2 linked regions of the Mus musculus genome follow. The protein of the gene in region 1 purifies or fractionates together with the protein of each later gene. This does not show direct contact. Links are inferred from orthologs where the notes say so. Each region holds a gene or a part of one and is shown on either strand. Other genes may lie near its edges.

Region 1 (4,971 bases):
CAGTACTCTTTTAACTTTGAGCCATCTCTCCAGCCCAATTTGTCTTTCTTGAATATACTGTATACTTCAGTCATAACAAATTTAGTTTGACTGCTAGGAAACTCACAGCCATCAAATGCTATTTCCATTTTAACATGGATTCTCGGCAAAATTACTTCTGATTTAAAAATATGTACATAATTTTACTCATTATTTAAAAATTTCACACATTAATAAAATACATTTTGTTCGGCACCTTTTCTACTTTTACTATTCCTAATTTTTGTTTCCATTGTAAGCCTTTTTATATATCCTTTCTGGAAGCATGAGGTGCATGTATTAAATAGCGACTCATAAAACGACAGGAATAGGAAATGAACCTTGGAGGAAGGATGAGAGAGATCTATTTTAAACTAGTTTATTAAAGCTGTGTACATAGTGGCTCCCAGTTAGTCATAAAGTCCTGTCCACTCTTTTTCAAAAACTTCCCTTCAACCCTACTTAACACTGTCCCATACCCACCTCCATTCCGTAGTGCTGGGAGCTGGAACCTCCAGCTAAGCTAAGCAAATTACCCCGGAATAGCAGTGTCCTCCCCAGTCCAGCCCTTGTCCGTATTTCTTTTCTGCCCTTGCCCTCTTTAGGCTTTACTCATTAGGGTTTGTTTGTCTGTAAGGCTGAGTCAAGATGGAACTGGAAACACAGTCAAGATGGCCTGGAACCAGAGATCATCTTCCTGTGCTACCTCCCCAAGACTACCAGCACTAGAGAAATCTTTTTAACCAAAAAGTTAATGATGGAACTTTGATGCCTCATTTCAGACCTTTAAATGAGAAGTCAAACTGCTTACTATTGCTTCACTATGGCTTACAAAATCTGACTGGGAGGTGAAAGGGGGAATACAAGGGTGGTGACAAATACCTACAGTTCCAGGACTCAGGAGTGTGAGGCAGAAGGGCTACCTAGGCTTTGAGACTATATGTAACTGGGCAGTGGTGGCGCACACCTTTAATCCCAGCACTTGGGAGGCAGAGGCAGGCGGATTTCTGAGTTCGAGGCCATCCTGGTCTACAGAGTGAGTTCCAGGACAGCCAGGGCTACACAGAGAAACCCTGTCTCGAAAAAAATCAAAACAAAAAAACAAAACAAACAAACAAAAAAATAAATAAAAACTGTATAAGGAGGGCTGGCCAGACTGCTCAATGGATAAGAACACTGTCTATTCTTCCAGAGGACTGGTTCAAAATCCCAGCACCCACATGGCAGCTCACCAGTGTTTGTAACTCTAGACCCAGAGGCTCTGGCACCCTCACACAGACAGACATGCAGCCAACAACAACATACATAAAAAATAAACAAATCTAAAATATAAAAAATAAATTAAAAATAAAAGCAAGTGAACAAACAAAATCTATATAAGGCCAGGAGTAGAGTCCCTTGGGAGGCAAAGAAGCTGAGCGTGGTGGCCTAAAGCAAGTTGACCTCTGTGAGGCCAGACTGACCTAGTTCCAAGTGAGTTTCAAGACAGTCAGAGCTATGTAGAGAAACCCTATCTCATAGAACAAAACCAAATCCAGCTCAGGCCTATATCCTCCATAGCAATCTACAAAACCATATCTATAGGTTTCACACCAGGACCTCAGTGCCTTTCCAACTGAGCCCTCCTTTTCCTCCCTGACTCTTCAGCCAGCCAAGGTCTGCTCTTTATAAATGTCCTCATTTTAAATGTTATTTCCCCAGCACTGCCTGTCTTTAACAACTCTGGGACCTTCAGGGTGGCTCTGTGGGCAAAGGAGCTTGCTGTATAACCCTGACCACCTGAGTTTGCTTCCTTGGGCTCCTATGATGAAAAGAGAGACTGAACTCCTACAAGTTGCCTCTGGTCTCCATATGCAGACACACAAACATAATACAATTTAAAAAACAAAACACAAACCTCTCACCTGTTATCTTGAACTTAAGTCTTTATCGTACAGTATCTAAGCTGACTAGGATCCCAGACAGTTGCCCTGCAAGGTAGGGCTTGTTTTTATTTACTGCCAGGGGCCAGTAATCCAGGATCTAGGACTCATTTTCTAGGCTAGTGATATACTACTGAGCTACAAACTATATTTCCATCCTCAGGGAAGTTTTTAATGTTTCCAAGGAATCCACCACAACCATTTAATTACATATAGTATGCTGATCTGGTTGTACAACATATATTCAATCACTGAACAGCTTCTATTAACAAAAATTTAGCCAAATGTCAGCCTTGTTTGTAAAAAAAAGACCGAATTCTGTTACAGACCTTAAAACCAACCAGAAAATGAGACATAAACCAAATCTAACTGTAAACTGAAATTTTGTTTCTATGATGGAAATAAATGGGGATTCTCTTAGTCGATAAAGGGTCACCTAAGAAAACAGTAAGCTATGATTTGAAAGCTGAAAACGAGAGTGTGCTAACTTTTTTGTTTTTTTTTTTTTTTTTTTGGTTTTTTTTTTTTTTGGTTTTTCGAGACAGGGTTTCTCTGTATAGCCCTGGCTGTCCTGGAACTCACTTTGTAGACCAGGCTGGCCTCGAACTCAGAAATCCGCCTGCCTCTGCCTCCCGAGTGCTGGGATTAAAGGCGTGCGCCACCACGCCCGGCGGAGAGTGTGCTAATTAAGTTTGTTTCTGGACAGGTTCCTTTTGGTAAATAACTCGGCAGCGGGACGAGAAAACTTCAAAGCCGACAAAGACACAGACACTGATACGCACACACACTCCTCCAGACTCCGCCATCCAGCCAGGAGCGTACAAGAAAATTGTAAAGCCGATAAACACACACACACACACACACACACACACACACACACTCCGAAGAAAATTGCAAAGCCGACAAAGACACAGACACAAACACACATGCGCGCACACACACACGCACACAGAGGCACATACACACGCGCGCGCACACACACACAAAGTCCCCTCCACTCCGCCGTCCAGCCCGGAGCGCCTTTCCGAGCCTTTCTCAATCCCCGCCCCCTTCCTCTTTGTCCAGGGTTTTCCCTTCTCCTCGCCTCTCTCTTTCCCTCTTCCTGGGCCCGGCTCTTGCCTCGGTGAAACCCCCGTAAGTTGTCTGGTAGAACTCATCTTCCTCCTCTGCTTCCAGGAGCCCAGAAAGCCGGTTCCCAGCGGTTTTCCGTGGGGCCCGGCCCCCAGCCAAACTCATACCGCCTACAGCGACTGCGCTGCCGCCTTCAGCCCCTGGCCCAGCTCGGGGTTCTCGCAGATCGGCACTCGACACTATTACCTGCGGGCGACCGTCAATGACGGAAGTTCAGCGTCTGCAAGCAAAAGCAGCCGAGCGTCGAGAGGTCCTAGTTATTTTCACCTTAAGTCTCTTTGTGGCTGGTGGCTGCTGTGGCCACTCATAGGCAGCGCCTAGGGCACAGTACCAGGGTTCCTCCTCCTTACCTAGATATTTTGTTTGTTTTTCTACAGACAGGATCACACTTTACAGTCCTGGCTGGCCTGGAGCTACCTGTGTAAAGCAAGCTGCCCTCGAACTCAGAGATCTTCCTGCCTCTGCCTCCCGGTGATGGAATTAAAGGTGTGCGCCAAGTAGGCCTGCCTCATAGCAAACTCCTTTCCCTTCTCCGCTCCTACTTTTTTTTTTTTTTTAAGATTTATTTATGCTAGGCAGTGGTGGCGCACGCCTTTAATCCCAGCTCTTGGGAGGCAGAGGCAGGTGGATTTCTGAGCTCAAGGCCAGCCTGGTCTACAGAGTGAGTTCCAGGACGGCCAGGGCTATACAGAGAAAAGCTGTCTCAAAAAAAAAAAGTATGTATGTATGTATGTACTTATTTATTTATTTAATATGAGTACACTATTGTTGTCTTCAGACACACTGGGAGAGGGCACCGACAGCTCTTTCAGAGATCCTGAGTGAATTCAATTTCCAGCAACCACATGGTGGCTCACAACCATCTGTAATGGGATCTGATGTCCTCTTCTGGTGTTTCTGAAGACAGCTACAGTGTACTCATATACATAAAATAAATAAATAAATCTTTTTAAAAATTGTATGACTTTTTTTTTTAACTATGTGTTTGTGTTCATGTGTGTGAGCATGTACCACTGCACTGGTGTGGAGGTCAGAAGACAAATGTGCAGGAACTGGCTCTCCACGTTTACTGTGTGGAATCTGGGGTCAAAGTCAGGTCACCAGGCTTGATGGCAGGCTCCTCTATCTGCTGAGTTTTGGTTTTGGAGACTGGTTCTCTATGTACTCCAAGCTTGCCAGTCTCATAGACTGGTCTGCTATGGTCTTCTCCGTGTTTCATGCTACTAGGTTAAGGGAAGAGTTTGTTTTTGTTTTTGTTTTGGAGTGTGTGTGTGTGTGTGTGTGTGTGTGTTTCCCCCTCTTTGCTGGGAATGGAACCCAAGGTCTCAGGAACTCTAGAAAAGCATTCTACTACAAAGGTACATCCCAAGTGAGGCCAAGGATTGTATCTGTCTATACTACGAATGTGAATGCCTGCAATAGGCTAGGTTTAGGTAAACAATGAAAGACTAAATGAAGAAGGTATTCATTCTTTTACTGTTTTTTGGTTTTATTTTTGTTTCTGTTTTTTTTTTCTAATGCCAAGGATTAAATTCAGAGTAGTGTATAAGATAGGTAAGTTCTCTAATTCTGAACTACACCCCTATCCCCAAAAGGTGCTTTGATAAAGCACACTTACATGCACTGACAACCGAATGGGTGGCCCTTCTTTGAGGTCACCAGATTGCCTCCCTTCTGAAAGTATGTATTGGTGAACTCCCTTTGCCATTTCCTCAGGAGCACCAAGCCACAGCGTTCTTCTCTGCCCCAGCTCCCACACCTTGCCCAGTCACCCCAGTTCTGCTATGCTAGGAATGTCACTAGGGAAGAGTAACCCTGTGACTCAGAGGACACCTTGGGACTGAGTAAGAGCTGGGGCAGAGAGACAGAGGGGTAGGATACCTGCTTCCTAAACATTCCA
Region 2 (4,514 bases), about 62 Mb from region 1:
CCCTTCTGAGTAGGAAGTTGTTTTTATTTGGGAAGTTCAGCCTGTGCTCTAAAAAAGTTGCAACATTTCTACAAAAGAGAAAGCATTTTGGCCAGGAAACATTATCATTATCTGTCAGGATCAGAAAACAATTTTGTCTAATGTAAAATATCATGACTTTCAGATGAACAAAGATGAATAATATTATGAAATATACCTCTAATATTAGTAGCTGTTTGCCAATAAGAATTACAAATTTGGGGCTGGTGAGATGGCTCAGCAGTTAAGAGCACTGACTGCTCTTCCGAAGGTCCTGAGTTCAAATCCCAGAAACCACATGGTGGCTCACAACAACCATTTGTAATTAGATCTGATGTCCTCTTCTGGTGTGTCTGAAGGCAGCTACAGTATACTTAGATATAATAATAAATCTTTGTGTCAGAGCGAGTGGAGCCGACTGGAGCCAGCAGCAGTCCTAAATTCAATTCCCAGCAGCCACATGATAGCTCACAACCATCTGTACAGCTACAGTGTACTCATATACATAAAAAAAACTTTAAAAAAATTATGAGATTAATAATAATTGTTTTACATTAGTGGCTCTAGGCTGGCAAGATGACTCAGTGCATAAAGGTGGTTGCCGCCAAAGTCTGATAACCTGAATTTGATTCTCAGAATCCACATGTTGGAAAAAGAACTCCCAAAAGTGTCTTACTAATTTCCATATATAAGCTGTGGCTTGCTTGCTTACATACATACAAAATAAGTAAATGGAACAACAGGTTGGTAGCTGGATCCAATTCCCAGCACCTATCAATACTGTGGGATTGCTGGAAACACCTGGACATGATTCTGCTTCTCTCCTAGGGTCTCTACGGCAGTGTGATCGTAGCAGGAGGAAACACGCTAATACAGAGTTTCACTGACAGGTTAAATAGAGAGCTTTCTCAGAAAACTCCACCAGTAAGTTTTTCTGTTCTTTGTGTTATTTATTTGTGTCCATTCTCACCGAGTAGAATTTAATAGATAGTTGTGTGCCTTTATATTATGAGTAATATCTATTAATAATGTATTTGTCCTATGTAACACCTATTGGTTCCTCTTCTGTTACTTGAATTTCTTTTAAATGTTTGTGTGTGCTGTGTACATTAACCCATGTATGTCTCTCTGGAGGCCAGAGGTCAAATTCGGTGTCTTTTATCTCTCTCCACATTATTTTACATACACACACTCACATATAAGTGTGCACACATGAGCACACATACATATACACTCACAGGGCATATGGTGCTAATTTTCAAGGGAGAGGAGAATCTGGAGGGGTAATTTACATGGTGTATTAATAATACAAGGCATAATATGCTTACAGGGTATTAAGTGTTTCTGTAGAAACTGTCTTAGTTGCTGATGTTAAACAGAAGTGCTGTCTGGGTATTAATACGCTTGCATGATTGACATCTGCCGTCAGTATACTGCAGAGTTGGAGATGATAGTCTAGAGAGTGGTCCTCAATCTTCCTAATGCTGTAGTTCCTCATGTTGTGACCACCACACAATTATTCTCATTGCTAATTCATAACTATAATTTTTCTGGAGTTTTTTGGTGGGGGGAGGGTTCGAGACAGGGTTTCTCTGTAGCCCTGGCTGTCCTGGAACTCACTCTGTAGACCAGGCTGGCCTCGAACTCAGAAATCCGCCTGCCTCTGCCTCCCAAGTGCTGGGATTAAAGGCCTGTGCCACCACTGCCCGGCTCAATTTTTCTGTTATGATTTATAATGTAAATACCTGATATGAAAGCATCATTAACCCCCAAAGGAGTCAAGGAGGTTGAGAAGCACTGGTGTAGGAGAACCTGCAGTAGAAGTTCTGACGGTTGGATTTCATAGAAAGCCAACAAATACAACTGCAGGCATGAATGGCCCAAGGTCTGCTGAGGAGTGAACTAGGGGCTGGTGTTATGTAGCCTTCCCTGCATCAGCTATTCTTGCAGAGGACATGAGTTCCCAGAACCCACTTTGGGCTCCAGTGCCCTCTCTGGCCTCTTCAGGCACCTGCACTCATGTGTACATATACTCACACAGGCATATACATACATACACATAATTAAAATAATTAAATAAGCCCCCCTCTCCCCAAGAGTAATCTAGAAACCTTTGTCCTTAAGGGAGTAATTAAAACGAAAATTGTCAGAAGAAAAGTTCCATTCTGGAACAGACACCCATACTAGCACATTGCTGGTTCTGGGCTCTGACACCTCACACGCTAATGCACTATGAAGGTTGTCCACATTTGTGTTGTATAGAGTGCCTGTTTGGACACCTTGAAAATGATTCCTAGAGGCAGATTCATAAGGAGGAAAGGAAAAGACCCTAAAGAAAGTGAATTGAATACATCATTGACCCCCGGCCAGGTGATACAAACCTGTTATCCCAGCTACTGCAAGGCTGAGGCAGGAAGATCCCAAGTTTAAGGCTGGCCTGGGCGATATACTACGTTCAGAACAGAGGCACTAAGGTTTTAGTTTTTTGAGATGGGGCATATGTTGTTGTCCCATTGTAGACCAGGCTGATTTACTCAGCATTCTGCCCCCTTCAGCCCGGGTGCTGGGGTTGCAGACATGAGCGTGAATCAAGTCACTTGTGGTCTGGCATTTTGATTGGGAAGAGTTTCGGTAGCAGGATCTCTGGGGTAGGGTGGTGGGTGGGAGACTTCGAAGAAGAGGAATGAAGCACCTGGGGCCTTTGGAGGTGCATGAACTGTAAGGGCTGGCCTTGTCCTACGCAGGTTTTACAGTTTTGGTTTTGTTGCTTTGTTAATTTATGTTTAACAGGAAGAAATTATGTACATATATAAATCCTGTCTTACAACTCTAAATGAGATTACAGAGTAACAGTGTTCGTGATTAAAAGAACATCATAAAATATATTTAATAGAGCTGTTCAAGGGAGGAGACTGCAAGCTCTGTAATGTCTTTAGTGCTGCAGAATGAAAGCTCTCAGGGGAGTGTCATGTTGAGGAAATTGAACAAGTTTCCTGACAGCAAAAGTTAGAGCATGGGTTTCAGTATTTCCAGTCCAGTGTGTCTTCCTACCTGGTGTGGTGTTGCATGCTTGTGTTTGCCCAGTCTCTTGAGTCACATAGTTCATTTTCTTACCCGATATTCATTAAGACCTTTCCTGAAAAGTAGCCTAGCCTATGCCAACTATTAGCTTAGCCATTTGACACCATGTGAAACTAATTTGTTTTTCCGTGTGTGTAGAGACAGACAGGGTGAGTGGGTGTGAGTGTTGGATGCTGTTGTAGTCCTATTTGACCTCAAACTCACTATGTAGGCCATACTGGCCTGGAACTAAGAGATCTGCCTGTCTCTGTATCCCAAGTGCTAGGATTAAGTACATGTTCCACCATGCCTCTAGAGGTTTTTCAGCACTGAATTCCCAGGTTGGCGGTTGTGGCTATCCCAGTATCCTAACGCTTCTTCTTCATCTGTTGTAGAGTATGCGGTTGAAACTGATTGCAAACAACACGACGGTGGAGCGGAGGTTCAGCTCATGGATTGGTGGCTCTATCCTAGCATCTTTGGTTAGTAGTTAAGATTCCACTGACACAGTCTCTGGTTTGAGAGAGGAACTTTTGAGAATAAGATTGTGTGTAGCAGTTTATAAAGAACGTTTTATCATCTCACAGTGCACCATATTTTTCTCTGAACAATTACATCTTTTCTGGTTCTTTTTGTTGGGGCTCAAGAATTCTTTTAGTATTTATTCTATATTGATAAAAATCTGTCTTGGTACTACAAGTAACTCTCCCCAGTTTATACATATATTTTTCCCTAGAACACCACTCTGGGTTTTCTGGAAATGGTTTATTACAATTTTGAGTCATAAAAACTTTCAGTACAAGCAGAAATTTTAACTTAAAAGCAAGATTCTTATTTGGCTTAAATATTGCATTAAAAATACTATTTAGTAAAAATATTAAGAATGATTTCAGTGCTTCATTGATCTTTGCACTTAAAACTGACAGATGAGTGGGGACCTAGTAGGAGTATCTGCTTAAAACCATTTACATATAAAAATGACTCCCCACTCCAGCAACCTCAGGCTGGCCTCCGACTTGGAGCCGTCTTGCCTGAGCCTGAGTGCTGGGACTACAGGTCTACACCACTGCACTTGGCTCTGTTGGGTACATCAGATGCATCATCAGTGAATAAGTCACCCCACACGGTCTTCCCCTTCAGTGGGATCTGTTGAGCCTCTGTAATACGTCTTGGCCCTGGGCAGGCTTAGGTGCACTGCATTTATCGATGAGCCATTTCTTGAGTTCAGTTGTTTCCCACCTCCTGGTGAGGCTGTCAGGAGTTGGCTGTGTAACCAGTAAGATCACTGTGCTCGGTCTGAACAGGAGTCCACCTTGAGTTGAGAGTGTGAGATGGAGGGCATCCCATTTTCCCTCAGGACCTTAGGTAACTGGCATGTGCCCACTAAGAGGCCCCACTACTGCCCTAGGACCCTTCCTCATGCCTTTGCCAGCCAC

What was found. The genes of interacting proteins can lie anywhere in the genome.
Region 2: the proteins of Vps72 (region 1) and Actl6a purify together in Homo sapiens (affinity purification with mass spectrometry; 3 studies listed by BioGRID and IntAct, with this or other methods). This does not show direct contact. The link is inferred for Mus musculus from reciprocal best matches to the Homo sapiens genes VPS72 and ACTL6A.

What each region holds. Positions count from the first base shown.
Region 1 is NC_000069.6:95,109,303-95,114,273, reverse strand, and holds the start of Vps72 (vacuolar protein sorting-associated protein 72 homolog), read right to left. Parts: upstream 3,233-4,971; 5' UTR 3,177-3,232; coding exon 3,060-3,176; intron 1-3,059. UniProt on the Homo sapiens protein: Deposition-and-exchange histone chaperone specific for H2AZ1, specifically chaperones H2AZ1 and deposits it into nucleosomes.
Region 2 is NC_000069.6:32,721,774-32,726,287, forward strand, and holds part of Actl6a (actin-like protein 6A), read left to right. Parts: intron 1-846; coding exon 847-942; intron 943-3,473; coding exon 3,474-3,560; intron 3,561-4,514.